2 linked regions of the Xenopus tropicalis genome follow. Each later gene encodes a partner of the first gene's protein in a complex. Links are inferred from orthologs where the notes say so. Each region holds a gene or a part of one and is shown on either strand. Other genes may lie near its edges.

Region 1 (16,917 bases):
ATTCAGCCCTGAAGGTAGATTTTGCTCAGGCCTCTTCAATGGCGCCCGATCAAAATCTTTTAACCCGTCCGATCAACGAGTCGACCGATATCCGCAGCATTCTGCGATATTGGTCCTCTCGCCGAGTTGCCATACACGCACCGAATATCGTACGAAACCTATTATCGGTGCTTGTATGGCCAGCTTAATTCATTCATTTGCAAACAATGCCAGCCAATCAGGTTGACTTTGCAAAGGAATGAAGACAGCCTTAGCATTGCACGGTAGTGCTTAATGCTGCACTTATCTGATCTGCCTCTGTCCCCACCACTGATTTCTGCATGTTTGCTAAACCCAGAATTAAGTAAACTTATCGTTTATTTGTGAAGGATGCATTATTTTTTCAAACCATTACAGGCCAGATTCAATTAAGTGAGCGAAAGGTTTATTACATGAAAACTCATGGACGAGATTCAATTTGAGATGCAATTCAATTAAGAAAAACTCAGTTTCTCACTGTTTCTGTAAAAACATTCTGAAAACTTTGAATTAGGAAAAAATATTTTTTTTCTTCTCAAATTGAATCTGGCCCTATATCTGGGAAATAATTTATTTTGCACAGTCCTTCTGTGTATGACAGCAAAACATGGACACCCTCTTTAAGGTGTTGGTAATTTATGTTTGTATATAGATCAGTGTTTTTCAACCTTTTTTGGGCAAAGGCACACTTGTTTCATGAAAAAAATCACGAGGCACACCACCATTAGAAAATGTTAAAAAATTTAACTCTGTGCCCAGCAGCAGTGCCCCCCTAGTACATTGGTGCCCAGCAGCAGTGCCCCCCTAGTACATTGGTGCCAAGAGCAGTGCCCCCCTAGTACATTGGTGCCCAGCAGCAGTGCCCCCCTAGTACATTGGTGCCAAGAGCAGTGCCCCCCTAGTACACTGGTGCCCAGCAGCAGTGCCCCCCTAGTACATTGGTGCCCAGCAGCAGTGCCCCCCTAGTACATTGGTGCCAAGAGCAGTGCCCCCCTAGTACATTGGTGCCCTGCCTACGGCACACCAGGCAACATCTCGCGGCACACAGTGGTTGAAAAACGCTGATATAGATGAATGCGATACAGATAGCCCATTTGAAGAACGTGGAAACAGCTTGTCATTATTGTCCACAGAATCCAAATGTTTCCTATATACCAAATGTTCTCCTGTATTATGTTATTCTTGGGTATCTTCATGTTAGAAATGTAAGAAAGTAGCACACCAATGATAAAAAAACATGAGAAATAGAATTAAGAATTCTTACTGGTGAGATCAAGTGGGAAGAATGGAGACAATTCTCCTTTTCAAATACAGATCTGAAATGGTGAGCATGACTGAAATCCTTGCCTGTTTGCTGTTCGTAAACCGAAACACTGAACGGAATCTTACTGTTTACAGGAGGGCAAGTTGTGAATCTAATGAACCAACGGCTGCAAACTGGTTTCACAGAAAGTGAAGTTCTCCAGATCTTCTGTGACACATGTGAGGCAGTGGCTCGTCTCCATCAGTGCAAGACTCCTATTATTCATCGAGATCTCAAGGTACTGGTACTGGGAAGGGGCATGTAGTTAGCCCGCAATACCAAACAGCAGTCATTGTAGCACTTCCTTTTGGCTATGGTTCCAGGGCAGTATCTGCAAGGTGTTTGTTGTTTTCCCAGTGCTTCTGTGGGTTTCCTCCTAAACTCCAAAGCATATAGTCATGTTATTTGGTTCCTGATAAAACTGACCCTAGTGCACAAATGTAAGAGAAATTTAATTGTATCCTCCGCTGGGTTAGGGTTTAATTTGAATGATGTATAATACTTGTAAAGTACTGTTGAATGTGTTGCCACAAAACAAATAAAGAATAATAATGTTCTTTTAATATGGTTTATTAATACCGTTTGTTTTAGTTTAGATCTAAATTTTATCCAGCTCTAAAGGTAAATGTTTTTGTTACTTGTATTCTAGCCAAACATGCCCAGCCAGTACTGTGGATATCTGGCACAATGCCTATTGGGAAGATTTGAAAATTTAACTTGCAGGTGCACTATGTTTGCCAGTACACCGTGCATAGCAATGCATAGGCAGATGAAGAAGTGAAGAGCAGACAGTTCCTCCTCACATCTGCAGTTCTGATTGCTTGAGATGTTGGCCTGAATAATACAAAAGCAGACAGACCATGCCTGGCCACTTATATGGTTGAATACTATATGGGACTGGCCGGTGTATGTCTGCATTTAAAGGAACATTTCGGTGTAAAAATGAAACTGGGTAAATAGGCTGTGCAAAATAAAAAATATTTCTAATATAGTTAGTCAAAATCTACCAAGATCTATTAAAATCTATAAAGGCTAGAATGAACAGATGCCTAACATAATAGCCACAACACTACTTCCTCCTTTCAGCTCTCTAACCTCTTAGTCAGTGACTTAAGGGGGTGGCCACGTGGGACGTAACTGTTCAGTTAGTTTGCTTTTAATCCTAAGCAAACAGTTATGTCCCAAATGCCCCCCCTTCAAGGAGGAAGTAGTCTTGTAGCTATTACATCTGTTCACTCCAGCCTTTATAGATTACAATTTTGGAAGCATTGAATAAGGATTTCTTGGTATAAAGGAAGGTGTAAGTATGTGTGAGAAGCTATTAGTATTAATGGAACCCCTGTGACATGCTGGTTTTGGCAAGTCGGCAAACTGGCATTTATGGTCCGATGACCAATGTTTTCTATTAAAACTAATGACAGGCTCCACATCATTTAGGTGCCATGGGCCTGTTAACTCTGTATAAAGGAAAAAATGAATGCCCTTAAGTATAACTTGGTGTAAAGGAATGGGTAGATGAGGTTAAGGATAACTATGTATGGTGGAGAGAGTAGATGGGGATGGAGGAGAAGGAGGCAGCGATTGCTTATTAGGGTATCTTGGTATGAAGGCTGGTTTGAGTTCATGGCTGATGTAAAGATGCATGAGTATAAAGATGATTTTGTGTTAGCACTGAAATGGCTGAGAGCAGGTGTGAATAAATGCTAAGGCAGGACTTGCCCAGAAAAAAGGGTAACTTGCTGTAGAGGCAGGAGTAGGGGGGAACTATGGAACATTCACATGGCTGTAGTTGTTTGTTGCTGACTCTGAACTGTATTGTGATCAGTGAGATTTTTCTCAGTCTGCTTAAGGAGACCGCAGTTGTCTATAATTGTGCCTATGGCTGGGAGCATTTAACTTGAAATCTATTAAGTGACTCAGAAATTGTCGCAATAATTACCATAGGTGCACATCCCAGAAATAACCATTGCAACAATTGTGTTTCAAAAAATTGGATAAGATTGTAGTAGCAATTAGGAGCAATTTAGTTCTGTAAAGTGGAAGTATTTAGCTTTTTTGATGCAAAATACATTTTGTTCAGCTTCCATATGCCTTTGTGAGTCAGATTTCCATTCCATTATGTGACAAAAATTGGTTCTGGAACAAGTCAAAAAGAAACAAAGTAATTTTACATTGGATCATTACTGAATATGGCAAATATGCAACTCGTTTATGTTTTGCCAATTTTAATTTACTCTTTGTAAACATAATTACATATGCAGAAATGAATTAATATTGCAGTAGTTAAAGCCTCTGTACCTGGGCTATAAACCCTCTTGATGTCGGGCTCTTTTTGGCAATAGTTTATTTTCAATGTGCCTCATTTATAGATTATCTGAACTAGATGCTTTTCCGGGGGCTTACTTTCTTTTTGCATCTTTTTACGTCAGGCAACTACAAAGAAATAATAATCCAAAGTATTAAGTCCTGTTACACAGTAGAAAGCTGCTTGCCTAAACATTACATAAAGGTTGGGATAATTATGTCCCTTTAAACAGTCTGTTGTTTGTTAGCTGACGTTTGCCTAATTATCAATGTGCATAAGACATTGCCTAGCAGACATAAACACTGCAATAATTAATAGTGCCAGGGGAATATATGCAGGAGAAAGCTGTTTGGAAATGCAGCAGAATGAAGTGCCATTCACTGTTGTAATGTGTTGTGTGTGACCCATTTGAAAGTCTTTTCACATTTATGGATCTGTGATGCTCATTTTGTAGAAAAAAACAACTATATTATATATGATTTTTAACTTTTATGTACTCCTTCATGAAACTTTGTCAGCCTGTAGTTTTATCTAAATAATACATTTATATTATATTATTTATATTATTATATAGTATAGCTACACACACTAATATGGGCAGTACAGGCCAACATATCACATACAGTTGTTGTAATACTTGCAAAGATTTTACAAACATGACTATATGATCTCCAGCTAACCGGAGGTAGCAGTAAGTCTGAAAATCGGCTGATGCACTAAAATGCAATTTACCAATATTTCATTCTTACATTTTAAGCTAATTTGTTTATTGCTAATACTAATTTATAGAAAGTAAATAAAGATGTTAACTCAAAAGACTCAAAGTCCTTTATTCTTTTAGGGGCACAAACTTATGTGACTTATTCTAGATCCCAGCTCTGTCAGTTCAATTCTGACTGTGGACATTTTGTAGTCATGCATTTGTGTATTTTTAACATGTGACCAGCCTGCTGTCAGTCAATATCTCCTCCTTAAGCCATGTTTTGTTCTGATTGTCAGCATATGAACTGGCGGCCGTCAGTCGTAATCTACTTTGCTGTCTCATCTCCTTTGCACAGATTGTAAGCGAGCAGCTTGTTATCAGGCAAAAGCTACTTCCTAACCCCCTTTGTTTTCTTCTGACTGTCACTTTAGCATCCTACCATCAGTCAGAACCTTACTGCAGCCCCTTAGTTTTTCTGTTTGACAGTAATATGTGCTCCCTGCTGCCAATCTGCTTCTACTAAGTGCTTCATCAGGCTAGAGCTCACATGGCCAGCAAGCAAGGTGTCACTCAAACTCTCCCATATACAGTACCCCCATTTTAAATCCCCGCTGTGAGTCTGGCCCTATTCGATTTCTGTTAGTGTCATATCATCAACCTGCTCAGTTTAAAAAAACTCAATAGCTTTTTTCAGCATGTGGCACACCTACTCTCAAGCAGACCCAATCTAGATAGTCCACCTAGCTTTGTATTGTTAGTGTATGAACAGGCTGTTGTTCTGTTTCACACATACAGTCATACAGTCTTCCCTGTGAACTACAAGTCCCAGAATATCAGTGGCCGCTATTCAGAGGATCTGGAAGATCTGTGCTCTAGACCAAGACTATATACATTTGTAATAAAAACAAAAACAAAAAAAAAAATTTCATTTTGAAAATTGAGGATAGGATTGTTTGCTTGTGCTCCTGTTTTTCGCAGGCTCACTTTATGCTCTTTATGTGCACAGGTTGAGAATATTTTACTACATGACCGTGGTCACTATGTGCTGTGTGACTTTGGAAGTGCAACAAATAAATGCCAGAATCCACAGACAGAAGGCGTCACTGCAGTGGAAGATGAGATTAAAAAGTAAGTTTTTCAGCTGGAAAACTGACTAAAAAAAAAAACTAGAAAATGTATTGTAATTTTTCTGTGCTGTGCTGGGGACTTAGGTTTGATTCCAGTCAGTGCACTGTATACAGGAAGGTTCCTGATTTGGTTCCAGCCAGTGCACTGTATACAGGAAGGTTCCTGACTTGGTTCCAGCCAGTGCACTGTATACAGGAAGGTTCCTGATTTGGTTCCAGCCAGTGCACTGTATACAGGAAGGTTCCTGATTTGGTTCCAGCCAGTGCACTGTATACAGGAAGGTTTCTGATTTGGTTCCAGCCAGTGCACTATATACAGGAAGGTTCTTGATTTGGTTCCAGCCAATGCACTGCATACAGGAATCTGCCTGATTTCGTTCCAGCCAGTGCACTTCTTACAGGAAGCTGTCTGATTTCGTTCCAGTGAATAGGATCCAGTGCTAGGGTCATAGGTACAATTCCAGCCAGGACACCATTTGCAAAAAGATTTGTTTGTTCTCCCTGTGTCTACTTCCACACAAAGAATTCCAGTTGTACTATGTACAATATGCCAAAATAAAGTGGCATGGCTACAAATGGGCACGCCCGCTCTTATCATTTTGCAGACTTAAGGTAACCGACTGATTGTAAAAACTGCAAGGTATCTAAATGTAATCTAATTTGTATGACAACAAAGGTGCAGCTTGATAAACTTGAACTTGATACTCCCTCATAGGGAAGACTGTGAAAATGTTTTGGGCCCTTGTTTTAAATCCCAAAATCTTGTTTAAAGGAGAAGAAAAGTCATTTTGGCATTTTACTGCCAATAGATTCGCCACATTAGTGCCACCTAGAACGCTATATTTATTCTGCAGAAAGCTTTACTATACCTAAAGTAGAGGACTAATAGAGGACTCTGTGAGTGCTTATGGCTGTATTTACATAGACCTTTCTGATAAAGCTTACTTAGTTTTTTACCTTTCCTTCTCCTTTAATTAACATTGCACAAGGGGCAAGTGCACTCGTTAAATTACATTACTACTGTTTATAATTAAATATTTACTTTAATCTGTAACAGCCATGAAGAATGTCATTGAGTAGATTAGCATCACAATATATAGTTACACAAACTATAGCTATGGTAAAAATGCACTTAATGCAATTAAAAAAAATATGTATAATTTGTGTATAATTGAGCGAATTTATCATGCAGCTCTTGACAAACAAATGTTATAAAGTCATTATTTTGTTCTATCACCTCCTGCTTCATTTTTTTTTTAAAAGTCAGTAATGTAAAAACCGGTGCTAATTATTCACAAGCACCATATGGTATTTTGCAACTTCTGTTTTTTATGTTCGCACCACTTGCTGTAACGTTGAACTGAAGAAGAAAATGAATTGAAGAGAAAGGGTAAATAAAAAATGACTAATATATATACCAATTGCCTTCTCTGCATCAGGTACACAACCCTCTCATATCGGGCTCCTGAGATGGTGAATCTGTACAGTGGCAAAATGATCACCACCAAAGCGGACATCTGGGTATGTAAGATCTCCTTGCAGACATAATGAATGCCTAGCTGTGTGCCTTTTAGAGAGGGGCATTTTTATAATGTCCATTACAAAACTGCAAAACTAGAGATTTCCATTGCCTGAATAAGGTATAGAAACCATTGGCACTCTAGTTCAAGCTCCAATTTTGGCTTAGGTTTTGCTATCACATATTGCTCACGCAACAGATTCTGCTGTGTGAGGAATCTTTTAATCCTATATCTGTGAGCGTCATAATCTGCTCATTCATGTCAGAAGCTCTACAACAAAATTAAATCTCTCTGAGGAAGTGTCAGGAGTTCTTTATTTTTCCCAGCTTTGTCTGATCTGCCGCTGGCAGGAGCTTATATATGTGTGCCCGCCATTCTGTTCCATGGTAATGTTGCACCCTTCCTCTGAACATGGTTTTCAGTTGATTACCAATTACCTGAAACATAACTATTCTCATTTCCTGTTTGTCCTACATGGGAAGCCAAGAGTGCAGTGGCATCACCTTATAAACTCCCTTTTGGGTTAATGTTTCACAGAAAATTTGTGATGCTATAATGTAGACTTTCTGCTGAGGGTAAGGGCAGGGAAAAAGCATGGAGTCCTGTGCAGGTTCAGTTGGGCAGACCTAGACCTGCTACTTGATTCTACCCACAATGTTAACTTGCCTTGTGACCTGGGGACGTCATTGTGGACTGGAGTGTGGATCAGCTGGGTAATGTGAAAAAATAGTTGTATTGTCTAGGGTGGGTGGGAGGTATCGCAGCTGTGGACCTCCTGAAAGGTCAAGGAATTGGGGATTTTCTGCCCCAAACCCTACTGCTTTGTGGGTATTCTGACCCGATGCGGGTCTCTAACATTGATAATCAGTGGCTGACCTAGTGGGCTAACAGTTTTCTTATTCATGGGAGTTGCGACATGTGTTTTACCTATGGCCAAATCTTGCTATACTGGTTAGTTGCTATTTACATTCAAACAGTATGCCCCATGTATAATAAAAGGCTCTAAGTTTGCCCAGGAGCAATAATTAATAGCAACCAATAAGAAGTTAGCTTTTAAGGAGGTGACCAGTAAATGCTTCCTTCTGATAGGTTACTATAGGATACTGCTCCTGTGCAAACTTAGTGTGTTTTATTACATAAGCCATATGTTATTACATAGAGCCATTTTCTGTACTTCCAAGGAGAGGACACAGAACTGACTTCTCCTTCCATCCTCATTCTGAATCCCTTATAGCTCTGCTTAATATTCAGTTTCTATGGGCTTGGCCACTGGGAGTACTTAACTACTGTCAACTATCGTTGCTAACCTCTTTCTTCCTCTTTTGTGTATGTCTCTCATTTCAGGCCTTAGGCTGCTTGTTGTACAAGCTCTGCTTCTTCACACTTCCATTTGGAGAGAGTCAGGTGTCCATTTGTGATGGGAATTTCACTATCCCAGACAACTCTCGCTACTCCCAGGACATGCACTGCTTGATCCGTAGGTGTCTATTCCCTGTGTGTCTTATGCTATTTCTTTCATTTTTTGGATATAGAGCAAAATCCTGAAATGCCATTCTGTACTTACTGTGTGAATCCATAAACCCTGTTGCCGACCTTCTTTGCTTTTGCTATTGTTGCTTGCATGGATTTTTAAGACCTATACCATTCCAGTACCTCATGTTTTGACTAATAGCTGACTGTGAAATAAAGCAGTAGTAGAGAGAGAAAGCAATAATATGCAGTAATTGAAAATGAGTTTTGTACACTTAAAAAGCCTAAGGTATAAAACAGTATTGTAATTAGTTTCTTGTCTGTAGTTCAGCAGGCCCTATTGGCTTCAAGCAGTACTGTCATGCCTTTAAAAATCACTTTGAAACTGAGTCAGAGATTTGCATTCATAAACAGGATGTAAATGTAAATAATGTAAGTTATTCTGCATTTAAATGGAAATGAAAGGGATAAAAGATTATAAACCCTATAAGCTAGTGGCAACCCTAATGGATGTTTTTGATGTGTATTTATATTTATGCAACCAGTGTGGGGCTTTGGTCACAGTTTGTGCTCTCCGTGTTTTGAATTAACCTTGTGTGCCATAACTTAAAGGTAAATTGTTGGTCTGTTTAAATAAAAATAGTCATTGCAGGGAGTGCTTGTGCTGCTGCCCCTCAGAACTCCCAACAATCGGCACAGTGAGACCAAGGCTTGGAAATGACTACCTGAAATCTCTGGTGCTCTTCAAAGCCATTAATGCAAACCTCATTCACACTGAGACCTGCCTTGATAACAAATGGGGTGGGGGACACACTTGCAGTTTCCTCCTGTGACTCTCAATGCATCTGTTTGGAGCCATTGGATAGGGCAGCGCAGCCTGAACCAAGGCTTAACAATAGCTCTTTAATAAAGATTAAAGAGGAATTTGCTTAAGAGCCCCACACAACACAGAAACCCCTAATATACTTATCATTGTAATCTGTTCCTTCAAAAAGTATGTATGTATGTATGTATATCTTTATTTATAAAGCGCTACTTATGTACGGAGTGCTGTACAGTAGAATTCATTAATACAGACAGGGGGTTAAAGATAATGGATAAATACAAAGTACAACAATAAATACAAATAAATACAAGGTGTAGTTGCAATAAGAGTCAGAAACACAAGATGAAGGAGGTCCCTGCCCCGTAGAGCTTACAATCTATATAGGAGGGGTAACTAACAGACACAAATGGGCAATTTAAAGTATGGATACATACCATTTTTATATGCTGAAATCAAGCTGCAAAACAGTACTTTCTGCATCATTTGAAATCCTGACAGGGGAGGAGGGACTAAAACATTAATGTTACAAATTGTAACAACTTCTCCGCAGCTTTCATACTGCATGCAGGAACTACATAACCCACAATGCATTGCACTGTGATATTCATTTCCTTATTGACTTCATATGTGCAGGGAATTGTGGGATTTGGAGAATGCATCTTGAGGACAGTTGACTACTGTAATATTTTTGAGTCTTAATGCAGTCAGACAGATCAGCAGGAGAACAGGGAGCCAGGTTTAGGTAACTGTTCCTAACCATATACCTTACAAATCATAAAAAGACTGCATATTTTTAACTGATGTATATTGCATAGGTGCTTGAAAGTATGCTTTCTTTTCTAAAAGCTTCAGTTGTGCTTGGGTGGAGTTCCACTTTAACCAATGCCTCAGAAAGGGATATGAGCTTTACCCATAAGCCGTAGATAGCGGACCATAGATACAGAAGCTTTCATTGCAAGTGAAGATCCGAGTTTTTTTTTTTTTTTACTTGATGCTCCATCATGCTCAAGAAATACTTGGCATTCCATTCATTGATGTAATTACAATAAACCCAATGCATAAGGTACAGAATATAGTTTCTAGGCTTACTCGTCATGCTAATGTTGCCATGGTGTATTACAGCCTACTGCGTGGCTATGAATAAAAATACATTCCTGGAGTCATCTTAAAAAAAAATAAATAAAAGCACATATGCATATTTAAACTGACACTTTTCTAGATTCTAACCAATGGTGTGTTAACTGGGTTCATGCAAGAATTTGTTCGTGTTTTATATGCAAGAACATAATATAGACTTTTTCTGATGTTGTTGGTCTACCCCACAGGTTACATGCTTGAGCCAGACCCTGACAAGAGACCCGATATCTACCAAGTATCTTATTTCTCCTTCAAGCTGGCAAAAAGGGAGTGCCCTGTGCAGAATGTGCATGTAGGTACTCATGTCAGTCTACCAGCTGATATCCAGTATGTCTTCCACTTTTAGTCTCTGCACTAACATGTGCCCTTTTTCTGTTGCCTCCCTCTCCTCTACCTTCTGGCTGATTGGTGGAAGCTGGATTATAATTTGATCACTTTTTTCCCTGTTAGCACACACACACACACACACATAAGAGGGGAAAAAAACCCGCCATAACATTTCGGGGAAAAAAAGAGTATTGAGCTATATTTTGTATATTGGGTTACTGTTGGCTACAAAAGTAAGTCTTTTCAGTGACTACAAACTGGAAGGCAGCTAGGTTGAGGGAAGGTAGCAGAGCATTGGGGATCACAATATACATGTAACACCCTTTCTTGCTCTTATTCTCCAGGATGCTGTGATTCCTGTAAAGCTTCCAGAACCTATAAAAGCTGGGGAGGCTGCTGCTAAGAAAACCCAACCAAAGGCCAGGTATTATAAAAGCAAGCTTGTAGCTTTTGCAATTATCAGTTATGTCTCTGTACATTTCTTCTTGGGTTGTGTATACACCAGTGGTTTTAATGGTCTCCTTATACAAATGTTTTTTTTTTCTGTTTATTAAAGTATTGCAGGAAATATATAGAACACATTTGATTCAAGTTGGTGTTACAGCTTTTAGCATCAGGCTCTACCACTAGATGCTGCTTAAACCAATGATTCTAGTGGATTCTCTGTATTGCTGTGCTTTGTTGTGCAGGTTGACAGACCCTGTTCCAACAACAGAGACATCCATAGCGCCTCGCCAGAGGCCGAAACCTGGTCAGCCTCAGCCAAACCCTGGGATGCTTCCAATTCAGCCAGCTTTAACCCCACGCAAAAGAGCCATGGCTCAGCCAGCCAATCCCTCTCCAGGTATGTGTCTGTCTGTAAACAGCCAATGTCACTGTTGTTTAGCAGTATATGGTTCCATCCTCACTGTATAAATGGATATCAGGTAGCATGAGCCTTTTCACCTGATATAACTTAGTGACCATGAAACCACGCTATTGGGTTCCACTGAATGCAGTTGAAATATGCTACACTGGGGTCTCACTGCAGGGTGTGACAGTCTGGTTCTGTAGATCATGTGTGGGGTCAGACCAATACGCTGGATAAGATCACTATTTGCAACCATGTTGCAGGTATAAACTGAATTTTAAGAGATGCGGTTACAGATTTCCACTTAAGTGGGGTGAGTTCATTCTGATGTGTATACTCCAGTTTTTTTCATTTGATACATGATTAGTGCCTGTGCTGTCTTTCTAGTTGCACCAGTAAGTATCCAGTCCCCTAACCCTGCAGCTGTGGCACCAGCCGTGAGACCATCTGTACAAACTCAGCCAAAAGCAGCACAGCCAGCGGCACAGGTTCCCACACCTGTAACCACCACTCCACAGCCCGCTACTCCACAGGCTCCTCCAGCTGCTGTGCAATCTGCACTGACACAACAGCAACAGCAGCTGTACTTGAAACAGCAACTTATGCAACAACAACAGCAGCAGGCTGCGGCATATTATCAACAGCAGCAGCAGCAGCAGATGCTGCAGGCTCAACAGGTAAGGGTAAACTATTGGTGAAATTGTGTTGTGTTTTTTCATATTGGAGTGTGTATATATATTTTTTTTTGTGCCTGCATGTATATGCACTCTGCTGGTATTTCTGTCCTGCTTAACTGTAGATCCAGGCCATGCAACAGCAGCAGATGCTTCAGGCCTATTACATGCAGCAGCAACATCTATTGGCACAGCATGCCGCTATGCAACAGAAAGTGGCAACACCTAAACAGTCTTCTTTACCAAGTCAGCCACAAGCCATGCCAGCTGCTCTCCAGCCTCCTGCAGCTCAGGAACAGGGGGTAAGTGTTTTGATTAAACTTGTGTTGCATTAACATGTTAAGATATTAAGACACCAAGAAAATAAACACTGTTTAATTAAAGCATATTTAGATTAAATGGAAACTTTTTTTTTGTCTTGCTACCATCTGTCCGTGCCAGTGTAAAATGTCCCACAATATAGGTAATCAAAGTAGACGTCCAACTTGCCCTTGATTAACATTGCATAGGGCTGCTATATATGTGAAGCAATAGTCTTGTGCATGTTTGAAGGCTTAGTTGTATATGGGGCGTAAGTGATGGCAGATATTTGAACAACATTTAATATTCATTTTACAAAACTATTTCTTTTGAATATTTGACCTAGAAGTGAAGCATTTAAACCCTTTCTTATATTTTCAGAGATATTGCTTGTATTCCTGGTGGGTCATTTTTTACATTTGAACTTGGGTTGTGTTCTGGATGCAAGTGTTGGCAACTCATGATATGTGCTCCAAACCCATATACAGTGGAGGAAATAATTATTTGACCCCTCACTGATTTTGTAAGTTTGTCCAATGACAAAGAAATAAAGTCTCAGAACAGTATCATTTCAATGGTAGGTTTATTTTAACAGTGGCAGATAGCACATCAAAAGGAAAATCGAAAAAATAACTTTAAATAAAAGATAGCAACTGATTTGCATTTCATTGAGTGAAATAAGTTTTTGAACCCTCTAACAAAAAAAGACTTAATACTTAGTGGAAAAACCCTTGTTTGCAAGCACAGAGGTCAAACGTTTCTTGTAATTGATGACCAAGTTTGCGCACATTTTAGGAGGAATGTTGGTCCCACTCCTCTTTGCAGATCATCTCTAAATCCCTAAGGTTTCGAGGCTGTCTCTGTGCAACTCTGAGCTTGAACTCCCTCCATAGGTTTTCTATTGGATTAAGGTCCGGAGACTGACTAGGCCACTCCATGACCTTAATGTGCTTCTTCTTGAGCCACTCCTTTGTTGCCTTTGCTATATGTTTTTGGTCATTGTCGTGCTGGAACACCCATCCACGACCCATTTTCGGTTTCCTGGCAGAGGGAAGGAGGTTGTCGTTCAGGATTTCACGATACATGGCTCCGTCCATTTTCCCGTTAATGCGAATAAGTTGTCCTTTGCCCTTAGCAGAAAAACACCCCCAAAGCAAAATGTTTCCACCCCCATGCTTGACGGTGGGGACGGTGTTTTGGGGGTCATAGGCAGCATTTTTCTTCCTCCAAACACAGCGAGTTGAGTTAATGCCAAAGAGCTCTATTTTGGTCTCATCAGACCACAGCACCTTCTCCCAGTCACTCACAGAATCATTCAGGTGTTCATTGGCAAACTTCAGACGGGCCTGCACATGTGCCTTCTTGAGCAGGGGGACCTTGCGAGCCTTGCAGGATTTTAATCCATTGTGGTGTAATGTGTTTCCAATGGTTTTTTGGTGACACTGGTCCCTGCTAATTTGAGGTCATTAACTAACTCCTCCCGTGTAGTTCTAGGATGCTTTTTCACCTTTCTCAGAATCATTGACACCCCACGAGGTGAGATCTTGCGTGGAGCCCCAGAGCGAGGTCGATTGATGGTCATTTTGTGCTCCTTCCATTTTCGAACAATCGCACCAACAGTTGTCACCTTCTCTCCCAGCTTCTTGCTAAAGGTTTTGTAGCCCATTCCAGCCTTGTGCAGGTCTACAATTTTGTCTCTGACATCCTTGGACAGCTCTTTCCATGTTGGAGAGTTTGGAGTCTGCTTGATTGATTGATTCTGTGGACAGGTGTCTTTTATACAGGTGACTAGTTAAGACAGGTGTCCTTAATGAGGTTGACTAATTGAGTAGAAGTGTCTAACTACTCTGTGGGAGCCAGAACTCTTAATGGTTGGTAGGGGTTCAAAAACTTATTTCACTCAATGAAATGCAAATCAGTTGCTATCTTTTATTTAAAGTTATTTTTTCGATTTTCCTTTTGATGTGCTATCTGCCACTGTTAAAATAAACCTACCATTGAAATGATACTGTTCTGAGACTTCATTTCTTTGTCATTGGACAAACTTACAAAATCAGTGAGGGGTCAAATAATTATTTCCTCCACTGTAGATGTATAAATCTTTCTAAAAATATTTCTTTCTGGAGCAAACACAGAATTTTAGTGACCTTGCCTTTTAGCCACTTTATTACGATGATGCAACCATAGAACAGTTAATATAGTGTATTGTTATGCATCTTTTTGTCACATATAATTACAGCAGCCAGCTCCACTCAAGACCCCACAGAAGCCCCAGCCACCTACAGCACCTCCATCTTCTGCACCTCCCACAGCAGCAGGGCAGAAACTGGGATCCCTTACCCCTCCTTCATCCCCCAAGACCCAAAGAGGCGGCCACAGAAGGATACTTAGTGATGTTACGCATAGTGCAGTTTTCGGTGTCCCAGCCAGTAAATCTACTCAGCTTCTACAGGCTGCTGCGGCTGAAGCAAACCTCAACAAATCAAAGTAAGTATTTTGAAACAAAATGCTTATGTGCTTCTTTGCACAGAAAAGATGACAATATTCCCAGAGGTGATTATTTGCATATACACTTTGCACAGTGATTGAACAAGCCCCGTAGGGGTGCCTTATAATCATTCCCTATCATTGTGGTTGCTAGATATTTTCAGTTCAAGCCTCCTTGGAGTTCCAGCCATTTTACAGGTTCTGGATATAAGAAAAGGTTGGTGTGTAAGCCATTCAGCCATAGTTCCACGAATATAGAAGACAACAAATAAGTTTTCACAAAAATATTGCACCACCCCCCCCTTCCCTTTGTTACCAAGTAGCATCACTGGGAATTATTTTTTAGAAAACAAGCACCCAATTACATTTGTAAAAAATCTGCTTGCTTGAAATTACTTTGCGTTTTTTTTTATAAATCTGCTGCTTTTGACTGCAAGTTTTTAAACATATGTCCATATGTCATTTTTTGTGGTTTTTGAATTATTTAGCTGTTTTATTTAGCAACTCTCTAGTTAGAAATTGTTGTTAAATGGTTGCTAGGGTCCAAATTACCCTAGCAGCCAGGCAGTGGTTTGAATGAGAAACTGGAATAGGAAAAGTAGTGGGTCTGAATAAAAAGTTAAGTAATTAAAAGTAACCGTGAAATTGTAGTCTCAAATAGCTACGGTTTTTGGCTTCTGGGGTCAGTGAACCCCATTTGAAAGCTGGAAAGAGTCATAAGAGGAAAGCAAATAATTCAAAAACCAAAAAAATGAAGACTAATTGAAAAGTTACCAAGAACCATCCATTCTATAATATATTAAATTGTATTTTTTCTGCCCAACCTAAATTCTGCCTAATTTCCCGCTTTTGCCAGGTCAGCTACAACCACCCCTTCTGGCTCACCTCGGACCTCCCAGCAGAATGTTCACAATCCGCCAGAACCTTCTGGCTGGAATCCTTTCGACGATGACAACTTTTCCAAACTCACAGCTGAGGAACTTCTAAATAAGGATTTTGCCAAGCTTGGAGAAAGTAAGATATCCTTAATTTTAGCTGTTAAAATATATGATGATACAGTGTGAGTTGTACATAAATCTGTTTGCAACCCCAATTAACACAAAAACCATCCAGACTATAAGGATGCATAACACTGGCTAAATCTGGCTATTTCTGATATTGTCACAGTTTCTGTGGCCTAGTAAAGCTTGATACTCACTGGTAGATGAAGGTGGCCAGTTTGGCTATCTGCCTAGTCCTAACTAGTGCGTTTTTAATCATAATATGCTCAGATTGGAATATGTTGATAATTGCATTTGAGCAAGTAACACGGGCGCTTGAGCTGCCTATTAATCCTTTTTTAATAGACCTAGTGAGCTAAATTGGTCTTTAAATACTTCATCTGTTGGGGACCTAGAACATAAGATGATAATGGCATGTGTTTGGCCTGTGGAGTCACCAAATCCATCCTTTAAAAGTAAAAATTTAATATTTTAGCTACTACCTTCCTGTAATCTATTATTAGTGTCCAAACCTAAACTTTTACAAGGCATTTTATTGTTTTAACAAATAATATGATACTTCTTACCATCTTTTCTTTCAGGTAAGCCATCGGAGCAGCTGAGCCGCTCAGCAGAAGATCTCCTATCTGGGTTTCCAGCTCCACCTGCTGTATCTCAGGCTGATTCATTTGGAACTGCACTCTTTGCCAGTGGTTCAGGTAATTGTCTTTTCTTTCCCTTGAAACCTTATTACAGATGTAGCAAACATTTGGCTTTTCCTCTTTAATAAATTTAAACAAATTGCACAGATTTTGAAAAAGTGAGCAATAAACATCCTGCAGTAATTAAACTATTTTCTGAGAATAAGGAATATTTTCTCCTCCTTCCAG
Region 2 (16,917 bases), on another chromosome or scaffold:
TTTAACTTTAAGTTTTTTAATTTGAACAAAGTAGTTTGTTGGGTCTTTGAGCATACAGGAGGCCATGCAGTTTCTTTGGTGTTCTGCATCTGGTGTATGCACCTTCATTTGTATAGCAGTGATGTGGCACGCATACCTCCAGGTAGACAATTGTGAGCACTCCAGAATGCAGTTTGGTTACTGTGTTTGTGGCATTTGTTTGCTAAAAAACGGGGCTGTGTAAAATTGAGAAACAAGCTGTTATCCAGTCCTCTCCTAATGTGTTTGTACGGCCCCCATGTGATACAGTCATTGACCCTGGTGGCCAAATCATACAATGATTAACTCCATTTGGCAACCTTACCAAGCAGGCAGATTAGTGAGCAGTGTATGATCTAAATTGGATTGTGCTGGCTCAATAAATGCTCTCTTCCAACACCTCATAATATATTTTAAAACGTCCCTAGTGCTGCAGGGGTTACATGCCCCTATTGTTGCATCCTTTTAATTTGTGTAATCAGTTATGTCTGTATAAAAATACATTTATTTATTAATGGAGGTTTTGATGCTTATGTACATTTTGTGTATAAGCCAAGCTGAATGAGCTCATCAGAAAAGAAGGTATATGTTTTCTTCACTCTCTGCTAACATATTTTATAGCTCAGTGGAGTCCTATATGCTCACACCCAATTGGTTACACGTTCACATAAAGATCACTGTTTGCAGATAAACACACTAGGGCACACAAGGTCAATACATTCAGAACCAAATGTATATGAAACCTCCCCATTTCCTGTGCTATAGAAATGTAGAATATTAGCATGTTAAATATGTATTATTGTGTATGAAATTTATCATTTAACCCACTTCTCCTCCAGTTCCTTCAAGTGGACAGGTCACCAACAATGCATCAAATGCTGTGAAACCTGTTGCCAATAACAAGTCCGTCCCCCCACCTTGGATAGAGGACCAGGACACGCTGGTACAGAGAGCTGAGCATATACCAGCAGGAACCCGTACCCCAATGTGTGCCATCTGCAATAAAGTTATAAGGTACGCAGCCTCAAATGTTCATAAATACGTTGTTTCAGTGTGACAAAGCAAGGCTTTCCACATAAATGAAGAAAAATGAAAGATGCATTTTATCATTAAAAGCTTCTTCCCTGCATAAGTCTTAATCTGTTTAGAAGGTTTAAGCAGGATCTTGAACTTTTTATATTGGTAAAAAAAAAAAAATAGAATAATTGCAAAAAGCTCAGAGAAGAGCACCTAAACTAATACTAAAGGAACTGATGACCTAACCTGCAGTGAAAAGCTTGATGGAGTTTGATTGGTCTTCCTAGAAATGAAGAGGTGCCTTGGATGCAATGTGGTTAACACATACTAATGTATGCAAGGCAAGAATAAATATGTCAAGTGCCATTAGGCCTTATTTATGATGTGACACCCTTCACCACTGCAGTACTGTGTAAAGCTCTAGTGAGCTGTAGACTTAATAAGCATAATATCTGCACTAATTCTGTTTGGTATGGTATTGCTGTCTAGCATTTTTGAAGGAATTTTTCAGAAAGTACTGCTAAATCTACAAGTTGCTGAGACTTTAGTTATTTAATTATGAAAGTAAAGGCTATTATATAACCCCTTATATTGTTTTACAATTTGATGATCAGCCAATACAAAAAAAGAAGATAACCAGCCCTAATTAGACATGCTAGTTGTGCGAGTGACTTTGACTGCTACTCATTCTTTGTAAAAAGGGAAACACTTGTAAGTAAAAGAGACCTGTTAGTGTCTAACAAAAATACAGCAATTTATTTGGAACATTAAAGGTAAGGGATATGTTAATGACAACATTGCAATAAAGTATTTATTATAAGTGCCCATAATTTATGGCTGTCAGGTGCTGTGGTGTAGTCTTATTTTGAGACACATCTAAGATGAGCCATCAAATGTGTCTAGAGGTGTCAGTAAAATCAGTGTACAGTATATACTGAGCCTATGACAGCACTTCAAGCTACAAGGCCAATAAAAGGTGCTCCCTAAGCCACAAGGTGCTTCCTAACTTTTGCATCTGAATGACTTGCACGTTATGGGGTGGAAGGGGGGTTTAGGCAATAGATATAGTACAGGGTAGAGGGCAAGTTTGGAAAGGCACCTATTGGCACCTATTTTTTGCACCCTGACGACTTTCACATGGAGATTATACTTCCTTAGTGGGAAGTTCCCTGCATAGTATGTGTGTGTATGTATGTATGTATGTATGTATGTATATATGTATACATATGTATATACATATACACATATATATATAATACACATATATATATATAATATATATATAATACACATATATATACACATGTATGTTTCCATTACCTAAAATATATAGCATGCCAGTTGGCACCAATTTTTTTGCATGATGATGTGTCTCTCTCTCTCTCCCAGGGTAGAGAACCCCATGTGCCACAGAATGTGGCCCTTAACCGCACCTATACCCTATCTGTATGCCTCCTTTGCTGCCTAGTGCATAGTGGTACTATCTGAAAAAAAGGATGGGGAGTGGGGGGTCAGTTAGATTTGGGCTATTACACAGAGCAATTGAAACACAGTATTATTAAGTGATGGGAGCCAAGTTAAAATGACACTTTTAGGAATATTTTAGAAAACAAAGATAAATAATTGCAGTCTGATTTGTTGCTGTTGGCTTATTTTTTTTATAGAGGAACATCTCCATCTTTGACGTTTATTGAATAATACAGTATTTATATCTGGTTTTTGTCTGTGGGAACTCCAATTTAGTAATTTTTTTCTTCCGTGTGTTACAATTCATCAATTTGTGTATAACAAAGTACTCTTCATAGCCTCTGGTAGAGAAGCAATGGGCACAGCTGTTTTGTCTCTGGTTGTCTTAATAGAATTACAGTTCATGCCCTCCAAGGCAGGATTACCTCAAAGAAAAGCAGGTTGTTGTATCAAATGGCAGTCTGGTACACCTGTTTTAAAACCAAGATACATCCAAGACATAGATGGTTTACTTCATGCCTCACAAAGCCTTGGCATTACACAGTCAAAGTGATCCTTTAGATAGCATCACTTTTTTATTAGCGCCGTCTTAATTATTGATTTGAGAATGATAAAGTTTTGCATGTTTAAATGCGTATGGCTTACAAAAAAAGAGCTGCTATTTGTAATTAAATTGATGGGAAAAAAAGTATTTTTGACAAAGCAATGATGAGATTACATAGGAGATTACATAGGAACCCAGACCATCCTGCAATATGCATTTTTCATTCGCAAGATAAAATGGGTCTTACTGAAAAGGTTTGCTCACATCTAGTAACCCAAAACAACCAATCAGATGTGTGCTTTCAAACATCCAGCCAGTAATTGCTAACCACAGGGTAGACTGTTTAAGACAAAAAATAAACCCACAAAATAAATAGATAAAATATTATATATATATACAATATGTTTTTGTGCACAAATATACAACAGAAAATGCAAATATGTATAGTTTTATGAAATGTTCTAAGTACCACACCAGAAATGGCAGAAACGCCTCCTTGTCTAGGGAAACAGATCACAAACACTGAACCTGCTTTAAAAGCTTAATCGGAGCATTCAGACCCGGAAGTGCATCGGATTGTAGAATCTAATATCTGTAGCACTTTTATGGTGCTTTTATCCACAAACTGTTGATCTGTGTCACTAAAAGTGTTAAAAGCTAGTCAGTCTTTCCCAAAGTATTCTATAACTGCACCTCAAATAAACACTTTTTTATTGTTTATGTATATATGATCTGTTTTGTAAGTTTTCTTTTGAGGTTTTACTGATTTATGGGGTTGTTTTTCCAGCCCTCTTTATAGCAGTTTATAGGAATGTTTTTCCTGGTGCTGTCAAGTGACAGGCATTTATCACTCAAAACGATCAGTGCTGGTGTTTTTAACTGTATTGCAATGTTTTCTAATCTGCACACTTTGAGTAAGACTGACGATTAATTGTAACATAGCTCCAGGGGGTCAGAAATGTTTAGAGTAAATACTGTTAAATTAGATTTGGAACAAATTGCCTTCTTTTAACATAGTTGTTAAAACTATGTTTTGCTTTTCAACTTTTTGGAGGCCTTACTCTGTAGTTACTCTGTAGTCACTATGCAAATTAGACCTTTAGAGCTTGACAGAAGCTGCGACATACACATGTTCAAAGCCAAACATTTTGTTACACTAAATCTAAAATAAATCCAAACAACTTTGGGCCATGAATATTTGTTTTATGCTATACAACAGGGGCACCAGCTGAAGTCCGAGGAAAATACTTTATATACAATGTGTCTATAAAGAATCTCATTCATCCAGGTCATTATATACAGTATCTAACAGAAGCAACTGGACGTTCTGAGTTAGTCCTGTGACAGTTAACTCAGAATGTCCAGTTGTCATAGACTTAATTCTACTAGATACTTTATATACAACTTACTAGACCACATTTAAGTCTCCGTTTCAACACTGGTTTAGTCAGAGTTACTGAGCCACTTGTTAATTTATCTGTAAACAAGTAAGAAAATATTATTATTATTATTATTATTATTAACATTTATTTATAAAGTGCTAACATATTCCGCAGCGCTGTACAATAAGTGGGTTTCATACATTGGACATACAGAGTAACATATAAAGCAATCAATAACCGATACAAGAGGTGAAGAGGGCCCTGCCCAAAAGAGCTTACAATCTACCACACTTTCATCACTTCCACATTTACATAATTCAAAGGAAATTTCACATTGGCTATAACTGTGTCACTTTTGCTTGTGTGGATTATTGTATCAGTTGTGTACCCCTATTAGCACTTAGCATAGCTAACTATTTCATTGGGGCATAGCGTTATAGATCTTATCATCCTGGGGGTCACCAGTTTGTCATCCCTAAGGTACAGTTTTCATCTTAAAAAATTATATGAAGAGCATGACACATGATTATTTGCTCTACTTCATAATCCCTTGTTCACCTGGGTTTGAACTTGGTGGTCTGACCAGAGAATGTCAGCATTGTAATCTACAGAGACCTATCATTGTTCAAAGATTGTGTTCCCTAACTTTTCCTTTTCTGTCCTTGGTTTCTCTAACATTCTGTCCACTGTGTTTCCATCCTCTGTAACATTTAGCTACTGAAGCCTATCTTTTTAATACAGATGGAAACCTAATCCTGTCTGGAACGGGAAGACCTTGTCTTCTTTAGTGTCAGTCTTTTGTTAATGAGTCCGTTAAATTAGCCTGTGCTGACACTCAGAGAAGAGAGCAGTTTGTTGTACATAAGGAGTCCTATTGTTAGTTCTATGCTGAACTGAAAGGCCATTGGTGTGTAAAGGTGCTTGTATAAAGAACAGAGGATATCAAATTAGGTCAGTGTTAGCATTGATTCATTAATGTTAGAGCATGTCAATTTTACTGCATATAGTTAGTTTACAGTAACTTGGAACTGACTGCTTCTTTCACTATTGTATAACATACATTATTTATCGTTAAGATATATGTTAAATGATTGAATTCTCAATTTCAAGCCTGGACAAACCTGATAATCTTAGATAGAGACCATTGACTAAACTAGAAATAATGTTACAATTGCTCATAGAGTCACTGCCTTAGGATCAGTTTTAGATCTCACTTCATTCAATTCATTAAAAACTGAAAACAGGTAATAGTTAGAATAAATACCTCAAATTTGAGTAAAATAAATTGAGGCTTCTTAAACCTGGACTCAAACCTCTCTTATGTTTTCAGGGGGCCCTTCCTATTGGCTTTGGGGAAATCATGGCACCCAGAAGAATTCAATTGTGCCCACTGCAAATCAAGCATGGCAGAGATGGGGTTTGTTGAAGAGAAGGGTGGCCTGTACTGCGAGATTTGTTATGAGAAGTTATTTGCACCTGAATGTGCCCGCTGTCAGAGGAAGATACTTGGTGTAAGTAACACATTTTAGCAAAGTGCAATACATCCAGTAATGTCATTTTGTACTACTAAGTTCCAACTAAAATGTAGCTTTATGTTCAAGCCAGGAAAGAATCAATTGTCATTTGTTCTACAGTGCATAGGAATTCTTGTGCAGAACAGTAGGACACCTTTGTATATTAAAAAAAAAATAAACTGGGGGAGGGGTATGCCTCATGTAGTATTAATAGGTCTGACATTGAGTCCTGCATCAAGAGTTGCAGCTGAAGAACAGTTGGGTTTGTGCAAGATAAATAAGCCATGTCCTATGTGGCTTGGGTCACTCATTATGCCTGCAGTTTAGCAGTTCTGACTACGCTTTGAAAGCCATGTTTAGGGCTCTGGCACACGGGGAGATTAGTCGCCCGCGAACAGGGAGATTTGTCGTGGGCGACTAATCTCCCCGTGTGCCAGAGCCCTTAGTGTAGAGGGAGCACTTGTTGTAAGCAAACTTAAGCTTGCCATACAGATATAGGCTGTCAACTTTATCATGCTGTGTAAAAAGTGGAGTAAAACTACTGGTGATGTTGCTCATAGCAGCCAATCGGATGCTTTTTTTTTTCTACCTGTTTTTTTCCACCAGATAAGCCCTAATTGACCCACTTTCTGCATAATCAGCTTTAAAGGTTTGCCTGCTTCCCTTTTGTCATTGTGGGCTTGTATATACTCTCAAATGACATCTGTGGGAAAATCAAAGCAAAAATACTTTGCTTTTAAGAAACTATTAACGGTTAAAACTATCAAGGGAAATTATTGGATAAGGAATGAAACAATATACAATTTAGTTGAGATTGCTGCAAAAAAACAAAAAAATAATTACTGATATATTTCCATTACATATAAAATGCTTACGAATGTTAGTGTTGCTTATAGTATATGCATAATATTATTCTCTGAAAATTTCTATTTATGTGTTAAGGGAACGTTGTGTATTTTTTGGCGTAGATGAAGTATTCTTTATTAATGCCAGTAGAACCAGTTCCTTCTATATATCACCAAACTGCCCATTATCTATAGAAGTCAGTGCTGTGCCTAAGCCAATGGTAGTAGTATGGTTGAAGTCACGTATTCCATGCAAATAAACCATGGAAAGCTTCTCTGTGCAAACTATACTTTCAAAACTTACATTTTATTTCTGTAAGTGAAATGTTTTGTTTATTTAGAGATGTTCATTATCTGACTTATTTAGTAGATGCTTCTGGGATTGAAAAGGCATTTCACTGCTTGTGTTACCAGACACAAAAAGCTATTACAAGTGGTTTTTGGAAACCGATATCTGCTAACCACTTTTATGGTTTCTGGTGCTGCGCGAAAAGCTTCTAGAAAAAATTAAAAAAAAAAACAACATAAATTATACAACAAGTAGGAAGACACTGTTACACTGATTGTGTTTTATAGATGGGTCAGATGAAATCTGTGAACTCTTTGGCTGCTTTATATGTGACGTTAATCGACTGTCTGCTAATAATGTTTATTCAACTGCATATTCAGCCCAGCTGGAATAATCATCTCTGCGAGTGCAGGAAACCTATAACACTTCATCTTTCTTTCTACCAGTCTCAACACATTTCCTAACTATTTGACCAGCAAGCCAATGAGATGTGGCTTAAAGGTGCAGTAAATACAGGAGCATAGTTTTGGTAAAAGCACTGCAGACATTAACAACACACTCCTATTTTATATTTTCATGTTCCATGCTAAAGGCTTTAAATTGTGGGCCTGTCATTCGATTTCACTGGAGACTTGCAATTTGCTTAGGAAAGTGCAGGCACTGTTGTCTTTCATTAGCTATTCCAACACAATCACAGTTGTGTATTTTATTTATTGATTGATTTTACAAATCACATTAAAATTAAAAGCCCCAGGGGACTCATCACCCAATAAAAGGCTATTGGCACAGTTTAAATCTATAGTGCATACATGTCGTGGAGGCATGTGAACCAATTTATTCTAGATTATTTTACAAATATGTCAAAACAATTGTAAAATGAAAATAACAATAAACACACCTACAGTAACGTTTATTGCTAAGCATGTACCTGAATAATTTGTTGTAGCAAAAATCAGGTCACTAATTTAATGGTTTATTCCATGTCCTGAATTTGGAAAGCAGCATAGCTTGTTAATTCCAAGGAGACTGCAATAAACAAATCGTCGTTGATTTCTGTAGTGTGTGCAGAGGCAATTTTATTTGGTAGAACTACCTCCAGTTTGGGTTAAGGTGCCTGACCCAGGCCACCTTGTAAATCTAACCAGTGGCAAGGCTGCTATGCTTCAGTTTCTGCAAGTTGGTATGTGAATGTTTCATGTAGTTTTTATTTTTTTGTTTGCATTAAATTTATTTAATGTTATGATGACAAAAGTTCAGAATGTTAGCATTGCATCATATTGGAGCTTGTGAATGATCTATGGAGTGCTATCTGCAGCCAAGAGTAATTTGTGATTGCAATATTGAAATTTAATTTTTAGGCTTTGCAGATGTAACTGCTTTACAACTTAGTGGGCAAAAACTTATTATCAGAAATGCACTGCATATACTGGGAATATTTTGTCTGCCTCAGTCTTACAAACAATGATCCTTTCCAGACTTAAAAGCGTGCTCTTAATTGCTATGGCATAATGCCTGAAACCAAAATATATTTATATGTCCAACACAGAAAAGCAAAGTTGAAAAAAGTAACTCACCAAGAGTAAAATGTGGTCCCGGTGCACCAGCCCCAGCAATTAGGTGAAGATGTTGTAAATAAAGATTTAACCGTTCAGTCAGTTTGAATGTTAGTTGTGTACCACACTGAACAAGAAAATAAATAAAAGTTGAGTAGGTGAGACAGAAAATCTTAATACTATAAGTTTATTGTCAGAGAGATCTAGAAAGAACAGTTGGGAGAAGGCATGCTTCAAATCCAGGAGAATCTAAGTAGTTTTCAGAAGAAGAATGGTCCAGAGATGCAGAGAGCTCCTTCATGTCTATACGAAGTACTTGAGTTCAGTTATACGTTTGGTGCCAATAACATTTTCAATTTTATTTTTGTGTTCAGATCTGAAATTCCGTTACCTTAATAGTAAATGAGAAAATTGTAAATCAATGTGAGATCAATTTATTATAGATATATATTTGTAAAAAGTGCAAAGGTATTTTTGACAATGACTATATAAACAATTCTTCACATTGTACCTGCTTTTTTTTTTTTTTTTTTTTTTTTTTTTTTGCATTTTTGAGATTTTAAACTCTATTTTTAAGCCAAAACTAATGTAGATGTAGCTATTAGTTACTGTTAACTGGATTACAGTTACAGAGCTATGAAACTCATGGATTGTATTTGCATACAAATACTTTCTCTGTTATTATCTTTGTTGTATAAATAGTTCTTATACAGCATACCAAATACATATCATGTATTACCTACACATACATATAACATATAGCAGGGGGATAGTGGCTAACATAGTACTTAGATTCAGGGGAATGCAACAAGAAGTGACAGTAGGCATGGCAAACATTATATACTAAAATTCTGTTTGTTCTGCATGCAAAATATTATAGCCAATTATTTCTATTTTAGGGGGACATATATATATATTATAAAGTAAAGTGCTCCATGTACTTAAAGTGATACTACCAGGTTCCTATTGTAGAAAGGAATGTGTCAGTATTAAAGAAAAAGTATGTTCTTTTGTGGGTTTTTTTGTTTTAAAAAAAAAATCCAAACTGCCCCTTTAATTATACCTGCCCAGTATTACCTACACTTTGCAACACTGTGCCCAGGCTTTAGTCGCCTGAGTGACTCTCGGTCACCCGAGTGCACAAAGCCAGTTACATTAGTCATTTTAGACAGGTGGAGGTGAAATCCCACTATTGGTGCAAGTAATGTTGATATTTCTACTGAAGTTTATGGACGTTTTGCTCTGCCGAGCTCTTTCCCCTCAGCACTGGGTTTGGGGCAAAAAAAAAAAAAAAAGATAATTGCTGTTCTTTGTTACAGTCTCTTATTACTATATTACTATTAGTACTGACATATTTCTAGCAAATATAGGGACACGCCAGTATTCCTTTGAAAAAAAAAAAAGGACCCAAAATTTGGTGGTTTATTTCTAGCTGAAAGCTATGTATTTCACCCAGTGTTCAGCTACAGTATTTATTGGTTCTGCAACATAACTCTTCACAATTAGACACTTTACAAATATGGTGAGTCAGTTAAATTGTGGTTTCAATTATTAATTAGGTTCTCATATAACATTGCCTTGAGACAGAATGAAAACTGAGCATTTTTTCTGTAATATATCAAGTGTGAGAAATAATAACTCTGTCTAGCAGTTACATCTAAATCACTTATTGATTAGAACTTCTCCTGTCTTTTTCTGTGACAGGAAGTCATCAATGCCCTAAAACAGACTTGGCATGTTTCCTGCTTTGTGTGTGTCGCCTGTCAAACTCCTATTCGGAATAGTGTCTTTCATTTAGAAGATGGGGAACCCTACTGCGAAACAGGTGTGTATTTTATACATATTATTCTTCTTTGGGCCACAGCTTTAAACTTATCGTATCCCCTTACTGATGTATTGTACATACTGTAAGCGTCATAGAATTAAAGCACTAGCATTTACCATATCCTTGTCTCTTGCATTTTTCTTCCATGGGGAAGCTCTCTTGTGTCATGGTAGCCCTCAAATTGTAGATTAAAAACAGAAGTAAATTGGTGTTTGAATTCGTTTTATCACAAAGCAATCTGAGTTAAATGTTTTAGAATTTCAATAACATTTGGTAAAAAAAAAGATATCCTTAGTTTCATCCAGTAACTGGATTGACCAATCATTACATTTTATAGAAGAAATGGCAGCTGACTGCATGCACAAAATGATCAGTGTTCCTTTATGGCTGCACTCATTCCTGATATATGCTGACGGTAGTCATACCCACAGAAATATGGGCATGTAATTTGGATGATCACAAGCCTTACCTATTGACATTGCTATATATCTTACTTCATGAAACAGCTTCTATAGGCCATTTGATCTGCTTATCTGCTGATGCCGATGCCTACCACCAGAACATGTTGGGGACATTGGTGTATCTGCAAGTTATAGCTTATGGGTCAGAGGCGCAGATCAATGCCATTGGCACTGATCTGGCCTTATCAAAATGTTAGGCCAATATAAATATCTGACAGAAAAAACAACCAAAAAAGCCAATAGATTGCCCCTTATTTGGTCAGATTTAAAAGCAAAATAAATGCACGTATTTCTCCTACTTTTATTTGGCCTGCTTCTTTATTAGAAGCTTATTTACTCTGGCAGGCCAATATGACCCTGGATATAAAATGTTACATGCAACCTTTAATATCCGACTGACGATCAGTTTTCTCAACCCCAACATAATACTGTATATTTGTTAAATCATAGATGGGATGGGCATCTTTGCAAATATGACTGAAGATGCAACCTCAAATCAAAACACAACTCTATGACATTATGGTTGTCTGTGAGCACTTTAGATACTAATCTCATACATATCATTTAAAATCTATGTCAAAGCCAAGTTGAAGTAAGCAACTATATTTGCTGAAGCAGAGGAGATTAAGCATTAAGTGACTACCTGGCACTAACTTCTCCCCATATGTTTCAGCAATCACTTTGCCTCCTGTCTTTTGCCGTTCCATCTGGCTTCTCTCATTTTGGAGAATACGTCTGTGTTGGAGTTTGCTATATATTCTAATGTTTAGACTCCTTATTGTTTAGATTATTATTCCTTATTCGGTACGATTTGCCATGGATGTGAATTCCCCATTGAAGCTGGAGACAGGTTCTTGGAAGCTCTTGGACACACCTGGCATAACACCTGTTTTGTATGCACAGTGAGTACAACTATGCCTGATATTGAAAACTGATCACTTCAGTATAACTCTGTGATTTGACATTAATGTAGATAGGTGAATGAAAGTTCCACAGTGTTACTTGAGGGCAGCTCAAGGTCAGTCATTTTTAGTAAACGTGCCACTTGTAGGTATTATTGACTTTAAAGCAAATCAGAAAAGAAAAGAAAATATATTTACTTGCAAATACAATATACACAGCATGGTAATTATATTACATTTGGGCTAAAAAAAAGACACCTGCCTTAAGCTGTCATCTAAATTGTATCACCCTGCATCACTGATGCACTTTTGGCAATTGCATAACATTTAATTGATATCATGTTGCTTTCTATGCTTAAAATTATTTACAGCTTGTTTTGTTAGCATAGATAGGAAAAGATTTATTTGCAGCAGTTATCAGCAATAAATAAAGTAATATGATATTTCAAATAATTGTTATGAAATAAATGTTAGTATTTATTTAAGGAAAGGTCTGCAATAAAATTTGTGTATCTGCTAAACAAAGTTTTAAGATTAGTTTTGGGAGAATTTAATGAAGTGATTCACCTGGATAAATAAAAGCCCTAAATCCTTACAGGATACTGCTATAAAAATAATATACATTGTGACATTATATTTCTGGGTAAATAAAAAATGCAACAGTGCATGTTTCTGCAGCAATGAAGTCTAAATGAGTGCAAATATTATATTAAAGTGTCAGTATAATAGAATTATTCAGTCTGAAGCAGTAGCTACGGTAATACACTGAACGTATAGTATCATCTTTCCTAGCACTGAGCCTTAATGTCATTCACTCAATTTAACATTGCTGGTTCATTTGTGTGAAGTTTACGTGGTGCAGATCACCTATGTTATTTAGTTTTTTTAAGATTTTAATATTTCAATTAGATTTTTAGTAATAAGAAAAGAGCTGGAGACCAAAAAAATCACCAAAAAAACAAGGTTTGGGCTTACAATGACACATACAGTACCTGGATGCCAGGGCGTGCTGTGCTTATTTAAAAGCACTGGGCAAATTTGCACTTGGGCAGTAACTCATAATAATTTATGGTGATTAGCATTCTTTACCAGCTGCAAGTAGAACAATGAAAGCAAAAATCTGATTGGTTGCCATGAGTAACTGTCCAAGTGCAAATTTTACCAGTGTTTATAAATAACCTTGACTGATATAATAGATTGTTGGTCCACTAGACAGATTGTTAGGTTTGTTACCAGGAGGTCCCACCGTGGCTACTGCCCTGGGGGCCCCACACCTCCCACAGGGGCCACCGCTATCCGCCCGACGTCCTCCCCTGAGCGCAAAACTTACTTTCAACGCTTCAGGGGTGGGACACCAGCGGCTGGGGGAGTGGCGAAAGGATCGGGTCTGGCCCACTGGGGCCCAAGGGGTTTTTACTGGTGTCCCGGTGGCCAAATCCGACCCTGTTTGTTATAGATCTTTGTTAATGAGTTGTTGTTGGCTTTTTTTTTTTTTAAATAGCTTTGTAATCCTGTATATGGAAATGCCTCAGTTAAATGATGCATATATTATTTTATTTATTTTTTGCAGATATGCTGTGAAAATCTGGAAGGGCAGACCTTTTTCTCCAAGAAGGATAAACTTCTGTGCAAGAAGCATGCCCATTCTGTGAATTTTTGAACCTGGGTTCCTGATTCCAGCACCAAGAAATAAGAAAAAGTTAAAGCGTTATTGGACGAGTATTGAGTTTTGTGGGTTTTATTCCATGATTTTCATGCCTGAATAGATGATAAAAAATATAACATTTTTACAGAAAGTTTAAAAAATCAGATGCTGCTACGATGTACTAAAAAGATTTTGGATAATATAGAGGTTTTTCTTTTTAATAATAAGTTGTCACTTCTGTTTGCATCTATGTATGGAATGGAAAACACAATAGTGATCAGAAGAATGATCACAATACGTTAATGCACCAGTTGTAAAGCCATTATGCAAACTAATTATTTATTCCTAATGAGCCTCTACTTTTCTATGTTTTTAGTAGGAGTGGGACTAGCAGCAACAATTTTATTTTAAAGATTGGTATACAGGTTGTAACTGCTTGATACGTCTTCCATATTTCTTATCTTTTTATGTGAATTACATTCTGTGTGGCATTACCCTTCATGCATTTGGGTAATTGTAAAATAGAAGGGGTTATACAGGAGCACAGCCAAACTTGGCCTTGTTCTGTAACCCATAGCAACCAATTAATAGTCAGATTCTATTTTTCTAGAATATTGAAGGCAAATATATGATTAGTTGCTAATGGTTACTGTCCTAAGGTACATTTTGCCAGTGTTTCTGCATAACATTGCAAGTGTTTAATATACACATCTAATAATTTTCACATTTAGATATGCACATTTAGAGCCATGAAAGAATGATTTGTATAAGTAAGAGAGGGGCAAACTCCTGCAGCAGCAATATCAGTTGGAAAAATAATACCCATAGTACCATTGTTTTGGACACGTATCATAATACACATATATTGTAATCTATTGTTTTTAATTGAACACCTTTTCAAAATCCTAGTTAATCAAGTGGCTTCAGTATTTACCTACCTACCTTTTCTTACCATATATACCTTTGTTTCTATAAAGTACCACATTCAGGACACTGGGTATAGAGATAGTCAGCTGTCTAGGTGGCTTCTGTTTATTAGTTGGTGGTTTCTAAATATTCAGTGTTTTAAGTTATTTGTTTTACATGGAGTAGACACATGAAACAACACAGAAATCAGTGCATATCATGCCATATTTTTTATTAAAGTCTTTTTTTTTAACCGCTATAGTTAAAACTAGTAATGAGAGTAATGAGTTGGGGGATCACCTACTGAGAAGCATAGTGCTATAGGGCAAAAAGTAGAGTCGCTAAAAAATGTATTTCCTGTGGATACAAGTAAAATACTCCGTTTATTAAAGGGGTCTTTCCTTAGAACTGACTCTTGATTCTGTTCCTAGCTCTCCAAAGAAGGAATTCCTGAAATGCAGAGGCAAAGGTATTCTTTAGTTAGAATCGTCCCTACTTACACTATGTCATTCATCCCATTGTTATTGAACTTATTGCAGAAAGTGCAATTTCTACTTGGCAATATCACATTGCAATCATCTAGGTGAAGCAACACTGCTATGGAAAGTATAGCAACCTTTCAAACGTATGTGTGTGAATGACATACTGTTCTTTCCTGTGGTTTAAATATATTATGCAGAGGCTGTTAGGGCGAAGATACACAGAGCGATTAGTTGGCGCGACTTGTTTAAAACATGATCGCGGAGGCTAATCGTGGAGTTTTACCGCCATAGGTTAACATGCGCGTTGTGACAACTAATCATGTGCTGTTTGCACTGGCCCGTTTAGTCGCAGCAACTTTTTAAAATTAAGCACCCCATGTGTCTTCGCCCTTAAGCCACTTTTTGCTTTTTGTCCTGGTAACACTTGGGGAAGAGAAAATGCACAGGATATGCTATAACTTTTACTGCCATCTTTATTTCTTGGGGTCTGCTTTATACTGATAGTTTTTAGAAACTGCACTATTTTTTCTGTCAGATGTAAGATGCTTGTTTTTTACCTAATGAATGAGGATTTCTGTTTATAGAGGGCCCACTGTATATCACCTAAAAATAACCAATTTAACATAGTAAATGTAAACATATATGCATAATTTTCCCATCTGGCTGTGTAAGTGAGTTTCAGTAACCGCTCCCTGACTGTTAGATACTTCCCATAATATGCAGTGAATGAACTGATTACTGCAGTTTATATGTTATTGTATTAAGTTCCCCTTGTCATGTTAAAGCCATGTCAAAATAACCCATAATAATATGTTAATTCTTATAAAATCATAAAAAATCATACAGGCCCAACCAGGTGTATTTATAATGAGTTAACTGCTTTATTCCTCATGACGTAAAACTTAACTGCTTTTAGCCGAGAAACAAAATCACCTTCACTATTCCTATTTAAAGTTATTCACTGTATGCACAGTTGCATGATTACTGTATTTATAGTGTGTTCTTTAAACAAGTACACACTGTTTGGGGACAGAATAACAGAATCATGTTTCTTGTAATTTGTTGTTATAAATATGATGTGTTTCATAAGCAGAAAACACATGTAGCAGGTGACGCCTTTCAGAGCACATTGATATCAGTAAGAGAGGCATATAGCCCTCACAAAACAACATGTATGCAAGAGTTGGTTGTACTGCAGTTTTGCATAGGATGCTTTTGAGAAAACCTGTTATGGTTTTGATTTGAAAGTGTCTTATGCAGTACAAAGACAGGCAGTTGAGTAAGGTATTGGAAGGACATCATACACATCAGACAAACTGGTTCGCTTTTTAGCCATCTAGAAAAGTGGTGTCCATTGAAGTATGAATTCAGTATGTCCTATGTTGGAGCTTCAAAAGCTGTGTTACTGATCTCAGTTGCTGACCATTGGGATCTGTGAGCCATGTTGACCTTAAACAGTCTGTTAGCTGGGATTTCATCGGGATTTTGTCTGTTGCTAAATCCCATTGTTTGTGTACAACTCTCATTTTGTCAGCAGCTTCCTTCTCGCTGGAGTAAGCTTCATAATACATGGTGTAAGTATGCAGTATGGTATACAGTATAGAGTAGATTTAGCCCAATTATCTCTCAGTGTATGTTTGAAAGCCATGTACGACAATCAGCTAGACTGCTTTAAAAATTCATGGAAATTTTTAGTTTTTATTTAATGGCCAGAAAGAAGAAGTTGGATCTATCCAGATGTTTTACCATTAAGGCCTCTGTAGCCATAGATGTTCAGCTACTCTGTCCACTTTAGTCAGCCTTCTGAGGCCAAAATGGGCACATATAGCAGGAACATATTTTTTGAATAGTTGCTGCTCAATTCCCACTTCATAACAAATTGAAGCTTAGTTTTCTTTAATGTCACTGATGTAGCAAAGTGTATCCTAAAAAGAGAGGTTACTGAATATCATCCCAAGCAACTTGGCTCAGGTACAATAAGTAGGTTACTATATCTTTCACTACTGCACAGTGACTTCTAAGTGAGTATTTAGGGGAAGGATACTGAAATAAAATTTGTTATAATTT

Evidence for each region.
Region 2: the proteins of aak1 (region 1) and pdlim5 are in contact, whole or in part, in a crystal structure (PDB 9F6S), measured with the Homo sapiens proteins. The link is inferred for Xenopus tropicalis from reciprocal best matches to the Homo sapiens genes AAK1 and PDLIM5. Residues at the interface, in NP_055726.4 of Homo sapiens: Asp956, Leu958, Ile959, Asp960, Leu961; in NP_006448.5 of Homo sapiens: Ala12, Pro13, Trp14, Gly15, Phe16, Arg17, Leu18, Phe24, Gln67, Ile70, Lys71.

The regions. Positions count from the first base shown.
Region 1 is NC_030679.2:122,504,862-122,521,778, forward strand, and holds part of aak1 (AP2-associated protein kinase 1), read left to right. Parts: intron 1-1,416; coding exon 1,417-1,559; intron 1,560-5,335; coding exon 5,336-5,457; intron 5,458-6,895; coding exon 6,896-6,977; intron 6,978-8,320; coding exon 8,321-8,453; intron 8,454-10,597; coding exon 10,598-10,701; intron 10,702-11,080; coding exon 11,081-11,160; intron 11,161-11,425; coding exon 11,426-11,580; intron 11,581-11,973; coding exon 11,974-12,263; intron 12,264-12,385; coding exon 12,386-12,562; intron 12,563-14,799; coding exon 14,800-15,047; intron 15,048-15,903; coding exon 15,904-16,061; intron 16,062-16,629; coding exon 16,630-16,746; intron 16,747-16,917.
Region 2 is NC_030677.2:76,396,618-76,413,534, reverse strand, and holds the end of pdlim5 (PDZ and LIM domain protein 5), read left to right. Parts: intron 1-857; coding exon 858-1,032; intron 1,033-5,758; coding exon 5,759-5,939; intron 5,940-10,333; coding exon 10,334-10,454; intron 10,455-11,701; coding exon 11,702-11,817; intron 11,818-13,387; coding exon 13,388-13,477; 3' UTR 13,478-13,518; downstream 13,519-16,917. UniProt on the Homo sapiens protein: May play an important role in the heart development by scaffolding PKC to the Z-disk region. May play a role in the regulation of cardiomyocyte expansion. Isoforms lacking the LIM domains may negatively modulate the scaffolding activity of isoform 1.